Astyanax mexicanus: one gene and its partner. The protein of the gene in region 1 binds, or shares a complex with, the protein of each later gene. Links are inferred from orthologs where the notes say so. Each region holds a gene or a part of one and is shown on either strand. Other genes may lie near its edges.

Region 1 (7,385 bases):
CACAGGTCATGACCATCCTGCAAGGTGAAACTAGGGGCACACACACACACACACACACACACACACACACATCGGAGTTTACCTCCTGCTGCTGTGTTTTCCTATCTGTGGCTCAGGCAGCTTCCTGCCCACAGTGTAAAGCAGCAGGGGTGGCCTTTTATTAGGCCTTGATTAGTATCAGTAGATCAAAATGAAATGTGGACAGTCTTTAAAGATAACACACATAAAATAGTGGGTAGGACAGACATCCCACCCTGCAAAACACTAACTTCAGCGAGACAGCATTAAAGCCTCAACCTCAAACTTTCTTCTTCTTCTTCTTCTTCTTCTTCAGAAAAAAAAACAAAAAAACAGCTCAATATAATTTCTGCTTTAATTTATCCCACTGTTGGTAAGATAGGTGTCATAGTTCCTAACATTGTTTTAACTGTGTTATTATTTCACCCCTATACAGAAGAAAAAGACTGTAGTTGGATAATTCTGTACCACTGTGTGCATTAGCCAATTAGCCAGCATAAAAAGAGGCCAATCATGATGATGTTTTTGTTACTTTCTCACTAAGTGTGTATGTGTCTTCCTCTTTTGCCCCTTTCCTTCCCATTGCCTTAATGCTCCCTCTCTTGTTCACTTGCTGGCCCTAAACAAATATTACATATGATCATATATAATATGTGGGCATTAGAGAGCCACTATTAAAATGCGGGAGACTCCCTGAACTACAGTGAGAGGTGGGCTCTTGGGAAAAAAATACTCCAAACAGGCCTATTAATGATGTAGTATGAAAGAGCAGAATTATTTCGCTTTACTTTTTCATTTTATTTACACTATATGTCCAAATGTATGTCTAGCCACTGCAGAGGTATATTGGCAACAGAAAATTAACATATTGGTGTGGGCATTGAGAGTAGAGAGATATAAAGCCACCCCAGTATTGAGCTAATGCTCCATACAGTACTTTAGGGATGAGTTGGGAAGTTTGAGATGAGGTGGAGGTGGTGATTATCCAACATCGTGACCTCACTAATACTCTCTCACTATTGCACTATTGTATAAGTCCTTACAGCAATTCGACCAAAATTGGGTTGTTGTGTGTTGTTGTGAGATATTGTAAAACTGGTTTGAATTTGTTCAACCAATCAGAGGCAGAACTCTCCATTTCCTAGTATTGCTTTGTTTATCTAACTGTTTCTAATTGTTTCGCTGTGTGTCATTTTATTTAAAGTACAGTTTTTATTACAGGGAATTTAAGCAGTTTAACTGTTTCTTTCCATATAAAATATTTTTGTAGGTTAAACTGATGAATCACGTTTACTGATTATATTTATCCTAAGAAGTAGCCCTGAGTAAAAATACTCAAACTTTCCATCGACTATGGACACAGAAAAACTGCCAAGGCACTCTAGCCAAATGAATCAAGGTTGTGTGAGTATATCTGTATCTGTTTGTGTGTGTGAGTGTGTATGTGTGATTGATCTTCCTCTGCAGGTTTTATTTTTTTCTGTGCTGAAAGGTGTCATTCACATCTGTATGACATTTGACACTTGTGCACAGACCTAAATTTAACTCGGAACAAAAACAGACACCTGCAGTACTCACACACTTTCTCAACACTGCAGCTTTGAGGTTCTCTCGCCTCATGCTTTCTTAGAGTGACCTAAATCTACACAGAGTGAGGGATGGAGAGAACAAGAGCATTTCACGGTTCTTTATATGGTTATGTTCAGTGTATTTATGGACACCAATGTGTGGTGGATAGTTGTGGAGAGACTAGAAATAGGCGGTCACAATTACCAGTTTTGTAAGTGATATATTGTTCCAAAAATAATTGCAATAAATAACACAATTATTGTCTTTTTACATCACAAAAAATGTTTGCATCCAGAAGGAATCTTTTGACAGGAATGAATTTAGGTGGGTAGTCATGGCAGATCTTCAGCGATGAGTCACATATTTGTATTGGTTTGATATGACCAATGACCCCGAATGTGGAGGGACTGTGGTCAGCACCAAGATCAACAGTTGCAATTTTCTACAATGGCAGATCACCTTCAGACTTCATTAAAGACACTTTCACAGCCCAATGCCATGTTTTTTCCACTTTTTTTTTCCACTTCCATTTTTTCTCCCCTAATTTAGCTAGGCCAATTGGCCGACCCATTTATCTGCTAGTCAGCTGTATATCCCCCAACGCTAGTGATGCCACAACACAAGGAGAGTAAAGACTAGCACATGCCTCCTCCGAAACACGTAAAGTCTCTTTTCCAACTGAGTAGCATCACAGCGCGCTCTGAGGAAAGTTCCAATAAATCAGCTCACAGATGCCCTTTGCTGATCTACATCTAGGGTGTAGACGTCACCTAGAAGCATCTAGGTTGAGCGCCATCTACCCACCAAAAGAGAGCAAGGACAATTGTACTCTCTCAGGGATCCGGCAGCTGATGGCGAGCTACATGACTTTCGAACCAGCGATCTTCCGATCTCGCTGAAAACTCTCAAATTGACTACGCCATGTGTAGCTGCAAATTTTTGCAACAATTCCCCTTGAGATGAATAGCATAATAATGCAATCACACATTACTTTTAAAGAGCAATTCATAGAGCAACTTGACGTTTCCTCTACCATTGGAAGCTATGGTTGGTAGTGGAAAACTAACTGGGAACCAGATACCAAAAGAGAAAGTAAAGTCAAGTAGGGTAGGCACCATGCACATACCCTTCTTTTGCACCCATTCCACATACTTTTGTAACACCTTGTTAAGAAGTACTTCCAGTAAAACAGGACTCTCTGGAACAGATAAACTTGGACCTTTTGGCATTATGCCATGCCTAATGCTAGGCGTGAGCTAGAGGGGTATAAAGCCCTTCAGCACTGATCTATGTAGTGGAACTATATATGCTTCTAGATAATGATTTAAACACAAACTCAATCTTCGATTGTAGACTAAAATAAACTTGTTTAGTTTAGATTTGGTAATTTATATTTCCCTTTGGTTAAAATGCTGCAGATTCTAGTGTTTATAGAATTAAGGATATAATATAAATGCAATCTCTGAGGTTTGTAGATGATAAATTGGATGGATGCCAGTGTTTCAGGGTGCCCTTGTGTCTATGTTACCTCCTGGCTCTCTCTCTTTAGTCAGCCAGTGAACTAGGTAAATTCCCTTGATTTCAGAAGAAAATATGAATAAGCTTTTGTGCACGTTTGTTGCATATACTGCAGCTTTGTGCAAGGCTACCCAAACAGACATGTGTTACATTTGTATACATCTGTATTAGGAGTAAGACAAGGCGTGGGACTTATATTTAATGTGAATGCATGCATAATCATTTATGACAGTTTCATCAGTGAGATGCATCACATTATGTAAGACCTTTGCTCCTAAAGTCCTGCTGGAGAGACAGAAAGAGAGAAGAGAGAAGCAAGTGAGGGCAGAGGGGGGGAGAAGAAGGTGGTTTCCAGGACAGGATGAGGTGCAGCAGCTGTGGGAGAGTTTCCACTGGGAAATAACTCTCTCAGGGGATTTTTCCACCTGGTAATTTCTCAGTATGTCTCAGAGCCAAAGACCAGTGGCTGAAACAAATTAAATATTTAATTTGTATTTACCATTTAATTAAACATAACTTAATAATAAGGATGCACAAATGTGGCACTGTATTTTTAAGTAAACTACGACATAATTGTCTGTTTTTTTTAATAAAAAAATAGTACAAGAAACATTATTTAAAAAGGTTATTAAAAATAACCCACAAGACACCTTTTAAAGGTGTGTTTTAGGTTTTAAAGGTCTGTTTCAACCATTTTAACAATTTACATGCTTAAATTAAATTATGTTTTATTAGGCGTTTTTTTTTGCTGACCTGATTTCTAAAACTGAATGCTAAAATACAACTTGTATTGTCGTTGTTGTCGTGTGTCATAATTTATCATGATAAAGAATTAATTGCTCACTACATTTATCTAAAAGAGATAAAAATTTTGTCAGGTCATTTTGGAGAATTTGTATTGGTCCATTCATCAATTTTTATTTTTTAAACAATGTAAAGGATATTTTGTACGTTTAAATTGTGTAGTAAATTACAAATAAACAAAAATAATAAATAATAATAATAATAAAAAAGTATTTTATTGGACAGGAACGATATGTGTTTAAAGTAAATACAGATTTAAAAAAAATATATATAATCTGGAGCTTATGTACTATTTATGAAAGAACTTGGGGAACCCTAGAAGAATCCAAAAACTTTATGGCATCATTTCACTGTCTACCATGTTTTTGCAACATAAAACACATAAAAACATGCAATTATTGATTATTAAATAATTTAATAAAAACAAGATTAAAGTGACTTTTATTCCAAAAGTCTTCACTGCGCATGCGCGCCCTCGCCGCGTTGACGGGTAATCATGGCGGCAGTGGAGTGAGACGCATATGCCTGAACTTTAGCCTGGAAAAAGCACAGAAAACTCCCTGAATAAACCATGTCTCGCCACAGGAATGTCCGGGGCTATAACTACGACGAAGGTAGATTATATACCAGCTAGTGTGCGTGTGGCTGTCTCAATAAACGAGTTTTAAAAGCTGGAGATAAGAGCTGAGAGCTGGTTAGCTGGGTGGCTCAGTTAGCTTAGCTTAGCCTGGCCCGGTGTGATTGTTTGAGTGATGGCGTGTCAGTACTTTACCGCTGTTTATATGTAATAAACTGTCTGTAGAAGTTCCTGTCGTGCTTAAATCTGCTGTAGAATAGCTGTACTTACATTTATCACCTTTCAACAACACGCTGCTTGCGTTTCTGCCAGTATATTTTTAGCAGTATGAAGTTACTGCAGTGCTAATGCAGCTATCTGCATCTGCTAACCAACCGTTAGCTAACTTCAGTCTGAAACATGTCCATTTATGAGCTTAACTAAACACTTATTTGTGTTTATGCTTTGTGTTAAACATATAAAACATATAAACATATAAACTGTCTATATTTTAATGTTGTAGATCTGCTCTTTTGTGGTGTTATCTGTTTTGGTGAAATTGTGCAAATTAATAAACATTAACCTAATAAAAGCAGTCAGTAGTGTTCTTAATGTTTCACTAAATAAGCATATTTTAACGATTAAGATTTATATGAGGCTCTAATACATATATAAACTGTCTTTATTTTAATGTTGTAGATATGCTCTTTAATGGTATTGTCTGTTTTGGTGAAATTGGGCAAACTAATGAACATTAATAGCTAATAAAAGCATGTGTGTTATTAGTATTTCAGTAATAGAGCTTAAGTTAACGTTTAGGACTTATGTGTGGATCTAATAAATATATGAATTGTCTATGTTTTGAAGTTGTGTCAGACAATGCTGCTGTTTACAGGTTTGATGACCAGGCCATATGTGAGTAGCTGACTCAGTGTTTAATGCCATTTGGTACACTGTGAGTGTATTTAGAGCTGGGCAACAAACCGATATTTGATTGTATCGTGATTCATTTTGGAATTGTATCGACAATATGCTTTAATATACATATCAAAGATATCACCATTATTGCTTAAGGAACACCGATCCTGCTCTACTTTTCATTAGAGTTTTAAAGTGTTTAATTAATGGATGGCATTCAGCAAAAAAAAAAAAAAAAAAGCTGAATAAAAAAAACACTTTACTTTGCATTGAAGAGTATTTAAATAGCAGTGTTTTAAATTAATTGGTTTGACGGGTGTGCCAAAACATTGTTAAAAAAAGAAATATAATTTATTGTCTATACATATTGTGCTTTAAATAATGTTTTTACAATCTCTCTTTCCTAATTGAGCCTAATTTTGTCTTCTGTTCTCTTTTCCTCACAGATTTTGAAGATGATGACATTTATGGACAGTCAGTGGATGATGATTACTGCATCTCCCCTGCTACAGGTTGGTTCTACTGAGATTGTGGTAATTACTCTCATGTCATGTGACTCTCTGTAACAGTACTGATGTTGTGTGTGATGCTGGTGGTGTTGGCTAGGTTGTGTAGGCTGTGTTTTGTTGTTTTGATAAAATGAGGCGTAAATATTTTTCAAGTAAAGTCCAGTCGCCAAAACAGTGATAGTCAGTGATTAGTCCTTACCTCTGAAATGGCCAATTAACAGCCTCAACTCTAAGTTTATTTTTTTAGATGTTAGTCATAATTAATGAGGCATGAAAGTCGTGGTTTGGTTCTCACAATGGTTTGGATTTCACCCTTCTACCTTCCGAAAGGCATCATAGAACCAATCTTCACTTTGTTAATTTCAAACTCTTGAATGAAGGTGTAAATAATTTGGAGGAATAGTCTTTTAAAAATATCAGTCAAAAGCCCTGTCCGGACAGGATTAGTTTTTTTGGGGGGTCCTGAGGAAATTTTCTCTTTTATGGGGAGTCCTCTGTGATTATTAACATCCGGAATGACCATGTTTGGGCAAAATTACAGGCTGAATTATCTACTGTTTTTCGCTAATCTCCGTGGTCCTCCAGTAATTTTATTCCCGTCCAGATTTCTGAGTTCCGTCACCTCGAGTTTAATAAAATGGCTATTTGTCCTCTGTCACGCACCATATTTACACTTTGGACGCTTGTTTCCATGGAGATTCATGTAAACAAAACAGCGAGTGGAAATGGAGGAGCTACTGAACGCGGTGTCACGTTATCGAGAAAAAAAACCTCACAGGTCCCCCTGTTTATTTCAATTGCAGTCTGGATGTAAGAGTTTTATCACTGAGTAGAAGGGTGAAATATTTTTCACAGATGTCCCCCTGAGAAACTAATCCCGTTCAGATAGTGCTTAAGATGCTTTGGGGAAAGGGTTGTCAAACACAGTCCTAGAGGACACCACCCAGATGGACCACATTTTTGCTTCAGTCTGACTGACAGCCCAAAGAGATGGAGCACTGATTTAGGTAGAGAAGTGTCCAGCACAAGTTCCAGAACTGTGAAAAAGAATATCTTGAAATCTATTACAATTCCCACAATACCATGCAATCGTTTGGGTGAAACATGCTGTTGAATTTTCATCCTCTCTTGTTATCTGCGCCTTACAGCTTATTTTAATGCTCTGTGAGACTGTGTGTACAGAACCATGCCAAACCATCTGTCCTAATGCAGAAACCATTATGAATTATTCAGCATTTATAGCACATTCTGGAATTTAAGAGGTTAACCAAGAGTTAGTTTCCAAAGTGTTGCTTCTTTAGTTTTCTCTGCAGCTACAAGGCTAATATAGGAATTAATTTATCTCTCTGTATCATCTAAAATCTTAAAAAAATATATAATCCTTTAATAGCCTCATCAACCAAACTGACTAGGGTTTGAAACCCTGGTTAGGCTTTTACACATCAACACCAAAGATCGTCCTGAGCAGGTATTTTAAATCTACGTTGGCCTAC
Region 2 (7,795 bases), on another chromosome or scaffold:
CTTCAAGTGAGTAACGTAATCTGATTACTTTGGATTACTTACAATATTGTCGTTTTTTTAAGCCTGAATGAATGTAGCAACCACATATTGCACATTATCCTTTTATTTTTCTTTCCAGGTAACAAATAGAGAAACAAATAAAACAGCCTTTTTAATCACCCTATAAAAATACTTATGAAACCATTTCATCAAACTATTTTATGAAACACTTCTATACATTGATGAAAAAATCATTAAAAACCATTAAAAACCAAACAATGCAACAACAACTGTAAGCTATTAATTTGCAGGTTTGCCACTTTCTGCAGGTGGATTATCTAGGGGTGAAAATCACAAGATTCATTATGATATGATATGATTATTTTATTCAGCGATACGATAATGTACGATACCTCAAATTATGTCACGATACGATACGATTCGGTTCAATACGATTTTTACAATCTGTTCCTTTTCTAAGAACTCCCAAATGCAAACAAAATATAATTTGAATGTTTTATTATTAAATGTCAATTGCAGTGTAATCATAAAAAGTAAACAATCATTCACTTCAACACTTTAATTTTCATTCTTTAGGTTCCATTTGAGAACATCAAATGCAGAAGAAAATGTAAAACAAAATAAATAAAAAAAGCGCCTGTTATAATTAGAGTTAACAATGTGTGTATGGATGTTGGTGATGTATATTCAATCATTCTCTACATTTCCTGATTCAGTAGGGTCTTGACAAACAAATTACAAAATTGGTCATTTATAGCACAATGCATTAAAGATTTCCACTGCATTATATTAGGTGTCCACCAGGCGTCTCCAAAGTGTTCAAAACCTCTCAAGATACACAAGTAAATCTGTCACTATACAATAACAGTTTGTAATATTTTTGTTTGTTTGTGATAAAATAAATTAATGTCTATGTCAGAGTAATATTAATATTTTTTTGATGAAATGACGTATGCGCGCTGTGGGCGCACCTTTGTTTACCAGAGGCATTTTGGTGACAGCTGTTAGGCATGCCCCACCCCCAGCCATTAGGAGACCAATCAGGGCAAATTACGTACCAGTGTTTTCGTCTAAGGGTGGACTATTGGTTGAAATAGGTGTCAATCACTTTTGTGACCTTGGAGAAAGGCTATGACCTGATTTGATTGGATTGGATTGATCCAGCGCTCACGTTATTGGTTCAGACGATCACTCAAGAAAAATAGTGGTTTGTGGACCAATAAAAACCACAGAATCGACAAGAGGACATCCTTAGCTTTGTATTCACGTACAACTTTACGTGAAAACATTACATGTGTGGTCGCTAGGAGTTTGAGAATATGACGTTGCGGTTGCGCTGAAACTAAACGCATGATTGTGAGGAGAAGTGAGCAGGAGAATAAAGGACTTTATGGATATTTTACCTGCGGTTCAGTGCTGTATTGTGGATGCTGTGATAGTAAGTGATTTTTCTATAATCTTATATGATGTTATTTCACATATTAATAATATTTTATAAGGCTATTTTGTTGGGGAGGCGTGTTTCACATGTAAACAATGTAAAAATACAGGCTGTTTTCAAGTTGGAGATTTCTGGCGACTGGTTTCATGTAGATGTAAATTTGCGTGCAGGTAGTTAAAGTAATACTAAAGAATATGAGTTGGTTAGTTGGTCGGTGTGTTTAGAATATTTTACGCCTTTAAGCATTCTACTTTACATAGTCAGAATGGGCCCGCCGACGGGCCCGCTAGGGGGCGCTTCTGCTGTGAAAACATTCTGATCGAAGGTTGTGAAACATAGAATATTCTGATGTCGTGATTTATGTGAATGTGATTGCGTTTTGTCAGTGTTGGATTGGAAGACCAAAAATAGGGAAGTACCGCAATGTAATCCATTTATTTTAGCAGAGTAACTGTAATCTGATTACCACTTACTGAAACAGTAACTGTAACGGATTTGTAATCTGATTACGTAACGCCGTTACATGTAATCCGTTACTTCCCAACACTGATTATCAAGGGCGTAGGAGCGGGCTTGATATTGGGGGGGACACATTTGCCAATATGAACCCAAGCCCACCCTATAGTTTCCTAGAACAAAATTTGTGGAAATTACTTTAAATTAAAAGTAAATTATTATTATAAGGTGATTTTACAACCTAAACATGTTACTCCACATTACAGCTACTGTTGTTAGAAAAATTATGCAAGCAATGTCTGAGTTATCACCTAATATTTAAAATAATATAACAGATTATTATTATTGTTATTATTATTATTATGTATTGGCATGTCAATTCTGTTGTATATTTACATTTTCTCCTGCACTTTTATTTTTTTCAAATGAGAGCTCTTCTTAAGATGGTGTCCTTTTATGTAAAAGAATGTAACTTTACGTTTCATAGAGACTTTTATAAACGTCATGATATGTGGTCTTACTGTGAACTACAAATGAACAGAAGTCACGTTACAGCAGTATTTCTCAACCCAGTTCTTATATATTCTACTGCATATTAAAACTGTTCTGCATGTTCTAGAGCTTCCTCTGGTGGATATACATGATTAATTTAAAGGATTTTAACAGGTTAACTCAGTAAATGACTGTTTATTAGCTGATCAGGTGGAAAACACTAGTTTAGGGCAGTGATCGGGGTTAAGTAACTGCTTTAAACTACCAACTTAAAGTACTGTACGAAATTCTGGCGATCATCTACATCCAGCTTCTAGATAACTAGTTAGTTAAATCAATTTTCGTTCATTATAGCTCACAGTAAGTCCTGTAATCCTAAATGAATAAACAGTTTGAAAATTAAAGTGATTAGCTGATCAGGTACAGGGAAACATTACATATATATTTTATTTTTTTCCTTTAACCCTGACTCCCAATCTAGCTAATTCCAAAGATAAGCTTACACACTAACACAGCTGCAGTTTATTAATCACAGTGGGTTTAAACTGTGTGCTGATTCAGAGACGTGTATTTTTAACCAGCTATCAGAAACATATCATCACAGTTGAAGTGGTTAGCCTATCGTTACCTTTCTTTTAGAAAAATCTCCGTATATCCATATCTGTTTTAAAATCAGCTGAAGCTGCTGCGTCCCGATCCCGCTGCTAAATCTCACAGCGAGGGGGCGGGGCTTCCCCAACAGCAAACTGCCTCTGCTCCGCGCGCCGCAAAACCAGCAAGCTGATTGGCTGTTTCTACTGAGAGGCGTGACTTAATACCTGAACCGGCTCCGTGATTGGTCCGGTCTGTCTCCTCATTAATAGTACAGCTGACCTGAGCGAACTGATATCATTTTTGGGGGGGACAAATCCACCTGTTTCTAATATTGGGTGGGACATGTCCCACCCATCCCCCCCGGTTCCTACGCCTATGCTGATTATATACCTGTGAAAGATTACCATATGGGAAACTTAAACAACATGGTCCTGCGGATGCTACTAAAATATGCACAAGAAACTGATTACACTGTTTATGTATGCTTCTGAGCTCATCTAAGTCTGCATTATAGTTTTGATTTGTAATGATGTTTCAAATAGTATGTTAAAATAACTTACATAATTTGCATACAAGTGTAATTTGGGTATATTATTACATTTGTATTATACCTATTATATTTCATAATATAAACTGCCTACTCTGAAACATTGTAATTATTATTATTATTATTATTATTATTATTATTATTATTATTATTATTATTATTATTATTTTAGACCAGCTATTTTAATTTTATATTGTGTTACAGATTTAAAGCAGGTCTTATATGAGTCATTTATACACTCAAACTGACACAAACTGTCACACATTGCATAATATTAATATTTATATTATATATATATATATATATATTTTTTTTTACAGTTGGACCTAAGCCTTATAACTGTATATATAAAATTATGGTTCTTTACAATGTATTTTTGTTTAACATTATGACTTTATTATTGTAATGTTACGACTTCAATCTTGTAATATTACAACTTTATTCTTGTAATATTATGACTTTACTCTTGAAATATTATGATTTTATCTTGTAATATTAAGACATTATTTTTGTAATATTAGAACTGTAATCTCATAGTTTTTATTAATGCAATATTATGGCCCTAAAATGCTGTCATATATACAATCCTGAAGCACCATCAGTCAAAAGGTGCATTTTCTGAAGGAAATATAACAATTTTAATCTCGTAACATAACTTTGTTCTTTTAACATTACATCTTCATTCTCGTAATATTACGACTTTAATCTTGTAGCATTACAAATATATTCTTTTAATGTTGGGTCTTTATTCTCGTGAAATTACAACTTAATCTTGTAATATTATAACTTTGTTCTTTTATTATTACATCTTCATTCTCATAATATTACAGAATTATTCATTTATTCTTTTAATATTGCGAGTTTAATCTCGTAATATTATATCTTTATTCTTGTAATATTACGACTTTAATCTCGTAATATTGCGACTTTATTCTCATGATATTATGGCCCTAACATGCCGTCACATATAACGTAAACATCACTTAAAAGGTGCATTTACTGAATGAAATATTACGACTTTAATCTCGTAACATTACAACTTTATAGTATTATTATTATGTCTTTATTCGTAATATTACAACTTTATTCGCGTAATAATACGGCCCTAAAAAAACCGTCGTATATACAAGCCCGAAGCACCATTAGCAGAGAGCTGCATTTACTGAAGGAAAGGCAGGATAAGCAGGACTTTCCCTTTAAGTGAGTCTGCTGCTGCTGGGTCAGAGCCGCGTCGCCGCTGAATGACGCTGCACGCGCGCCCCACGCTGCTGAGTCGGTGTGAGTGAGTGTGGAGAGAATGGCAGCAGATAAACTCCCAGCAGCAGATCTCCCAACACACAGCGAGTTTCTGGATTAACCCTCTCCCACACCCTTCAGCGCTACTCCACAACTACAGGACCGTCTGAGCCACCATGAAGCTCCTCCACAAAGACATAGAGAAGGATAATGCGGGGTGAGTGAAAGTGAAAGAGAGAGAGAGAGAGAGAGAGAGAGAGCGAGAGAGCTCAGCCGGCTGTTCTTTCAAATCAAACAAACCTAAATTAATGTAAATAATCTTCTATCGGCTCCTCTCTGAACAGCTCTCCTCTGACCAGCTCTTACTTACTCAATGTGATTTTGGGTGATTACTACACAGGTTCTGCTCTAATTTAGCCGATAGGACTGAAAGTCTAAAGCTGACGGCTACCGTATTCCTGCCCACGCCCACTGTCAACATTGTCCCGCCCCTCTGATCGACGCAACCACGCCCCTTGATAACAACGTGGAAATTGCATTGTCAGATAATCAGATTAATCAGAAAAGTATTCTATGATTAATCTCGATTACGATCAATCATGTCTTCCTTTTTTCTAAGACTTAAGCTTTTAAAAGTGGATATTTAAGCATTAATACATAGAAGAATTAATGTTAGATTTGTGGAATGTTAGATTTGTGGTATTTATAGTAGTGGGGTCAATCACTTAAATATTAATTGTATTAATCCCAACAATATTCTGTAATTATAGTGCCAGTCTGTAAGTCCTTGGTGGGAAAGTGTAATTGCACCAAGCATGCTAAAACTGTGCCCTTGTGTGGTGTTCGGGTCTGTGGGACCCGTTTTCATTTTTCATCAAATGACACACAAAATGTTTTTTTCTAACTCAAACTCATTGGCATTGGCTCATTTTTTGTAAATTTGAAACTAAACAAATGTTCTACTCATATCTTGAGTTTAATTCATTTTCTTTTACATTTTATTAAAAAACTAATAAAAAAAGAGTAGCACTTTTTGAATGAAATGTAACATAAGAAAGGTAAAGGGCAAATATTAACCATGTAAGCAGTTTATATTGCTAGCAATTTAGGTGAAGCAAGCATGTGTAAAGCATTTTAATGTAAAATGCCTTAATTTTGCTGAATTAAATACAAGTAACAAAGTAAACGAGTAACAAAAATATGAACACCACACAAGGGTTAAAGCATGGATTGTGATGCAGTCTCTTTTAAAAAATGAATGAATCTGGTGATTTTGGCTAGGATTCTGATTTTGCTGTCTTTTATCTCTTCAGCCTTGATTCTGTGTTTCTGTGGTTTAATGATATGTGAATGAGCAGATGTAGAGTGAGTTTTCTTTCCTGGTTCCATCGAGTGCACAGTAGCTCTTGTATCAGAACCATTAGCAGCACCATGTTTGCTCAGGAAACCGTCAAAATCTTTTACAGCCAGAAAAAGGTCACAGGACCTACCAGACACTCTGATTTTAGAATGCCTTTATGTGGCTTTGCAGGAATATAATATTTTGCCCTCTCCCCACTCAAAAACACTACTGCTTTCCATTATAAAATAAAAGCCCTAAAGGACTGCTGCTTTAACACACGTCTCTCTCTGATGAAGACTGATGTGTTTCTGATTAGATGGGTTGTCACAAAGACATAAGAGCGGGGTTGACTTTGAGGAGAGACACATTTTTACAATTAGTTGCAAAATACAGAAGATTAGAATGTACAGTAGATCTGCTGTACAGATTTATATGGTCCCGACTAGGGACTATTATGTTTTCCTCAGTTTATCGCTTTTTACAAACTATTTTTACAGGCCTTTTAAAGGGTTGTGTTTTTTGAGTACAAGTATTTGGCCATGGTAATAGAAACAATGCACCTCTTAATAATTGACAATTGTCTTTAATTATTTCTTAAAACATAGTAGCCCTAGTTGGAGTTACATAAATAGTCACGTACTGCCTGAAGTGCTGCTAACAAGAGCTGCCAGTGCTTTAACTCGCATGTTTCCTTAATATCTGATGATAAATCCTGATCAATTTATCCTTTAGCACTTAAAATATAATTCTTAATTATTTAATGTCTTTACAACACAAAATGCTCTGGTGTTGTGTAATGCAATAATTTTTTTAAATGTAATATTTTATTTTATGTTTTATTCACAATAGGACATAGAACACATATACGATTTTGAAAGTGAGCCAATTTTACAGTTTCTTTACTTGTTCTAACAGCAGTGTGTAAATGTGTGGGAAGTCAGGAGAGCAGTGGGTGGAGTTTTGGGGTGAAGAATTTTAACCTATTTCTTGTCTGATGGAGGAATCTAGCTAATCAACAGTCCTGCCTCCTTTTTGCTGGATTTTTTCTTTCCTGATGTGCCAAATGTTTTCTGTTGTTGAAAGGTCAGACCAGTTCAATATCCGGACTCTTCTGTGAATTCCTGCTGTTGTGATCGATGCAATGTATGGTTTTAGCATTGTCTTGCTGACAGAGACATTGTCTGGGTGAACAAAGCTCTTTGTAGTTTTTAGCATTGTTTGGGACTTTCCAGATGCGCAAGCTGGCCACACTTTAGGCTTTCATTTTGCCATCAGAGATGGACCCTTAACTTCTTCATCTCCAGAACACAGTGTCTAAATTAATTTATTCTCTAGATATCACAAGACAATTCTCCACGATACTTCCCAGTTGGGTGTATCGCAAAAGAAAACTATACTATTCGATATATCTCCATATTGATCATTTGTACCATCCCTACTTTTGCCCTGAGAATTTTCTGGGCTGTGTTAACATAGTATAATACAGTGAGGCCTGAGGGTTCGAAGATCACCAGCATCCAGTGTTGAATGCCGGCCTTGTCCCTTTGTGCACAGGGATTTCAGGGAGTCTTTGACTTTTTTAATAATCGTGTGTACTGTAGCTCCACCTCACTAGGCCAATGCAAGTTAAAAACAATACTGCTTATTAGTTCACACATAACTCTCTTATGTTTTGTGTTTTCTTGTC

Evidence for each region.
Region 2: hbs1l (region 1) and pelo share a complex: the UniProt entries of both Homo sapiens proteins name them as parts of the pelota-HBS1L complex. The link is inferred for Astyanax mexicanus from reciprocal best matches to the Homo sapiens genes HBS1L and PELO.

What each region holds. Positions count from the first base shown.
Region 1 is NC_064420.1:44,408,639-44,416,023, reverse strand, and holds the start of hbs1l (HBS1-like protein), read left to right. Parts: upstream 1-4,382; 5' UTR 4,383-4,480; coding exon 4,481-4,523; intron 4,524-5,829; coding exon 5,830-5,895; intron 5,896-7,385. UniProt on the Homo sapiens protein: GTPase component of the Pelota-HBS1L complex, a complex that recognizes stalled ribosomes and triggers the No-Go Decay (NGD) pathway.
Region 2 is NC_064422.1:3,551,618-3,559,412, reverse strand, and holds the start of pelo (protein pelota homolog), read left to right. Parts: upstream 1-4,770; 5' UTR 4,771-4,942; coding exon 4,943-4,983; intron 4,984-7,795. UniProt on the Homo sapiens protein: Component of the Pelota-HBS1L complex, a complex that recognizes stalled ribosomes and triggers the No-Go Decay (NGD) pathway.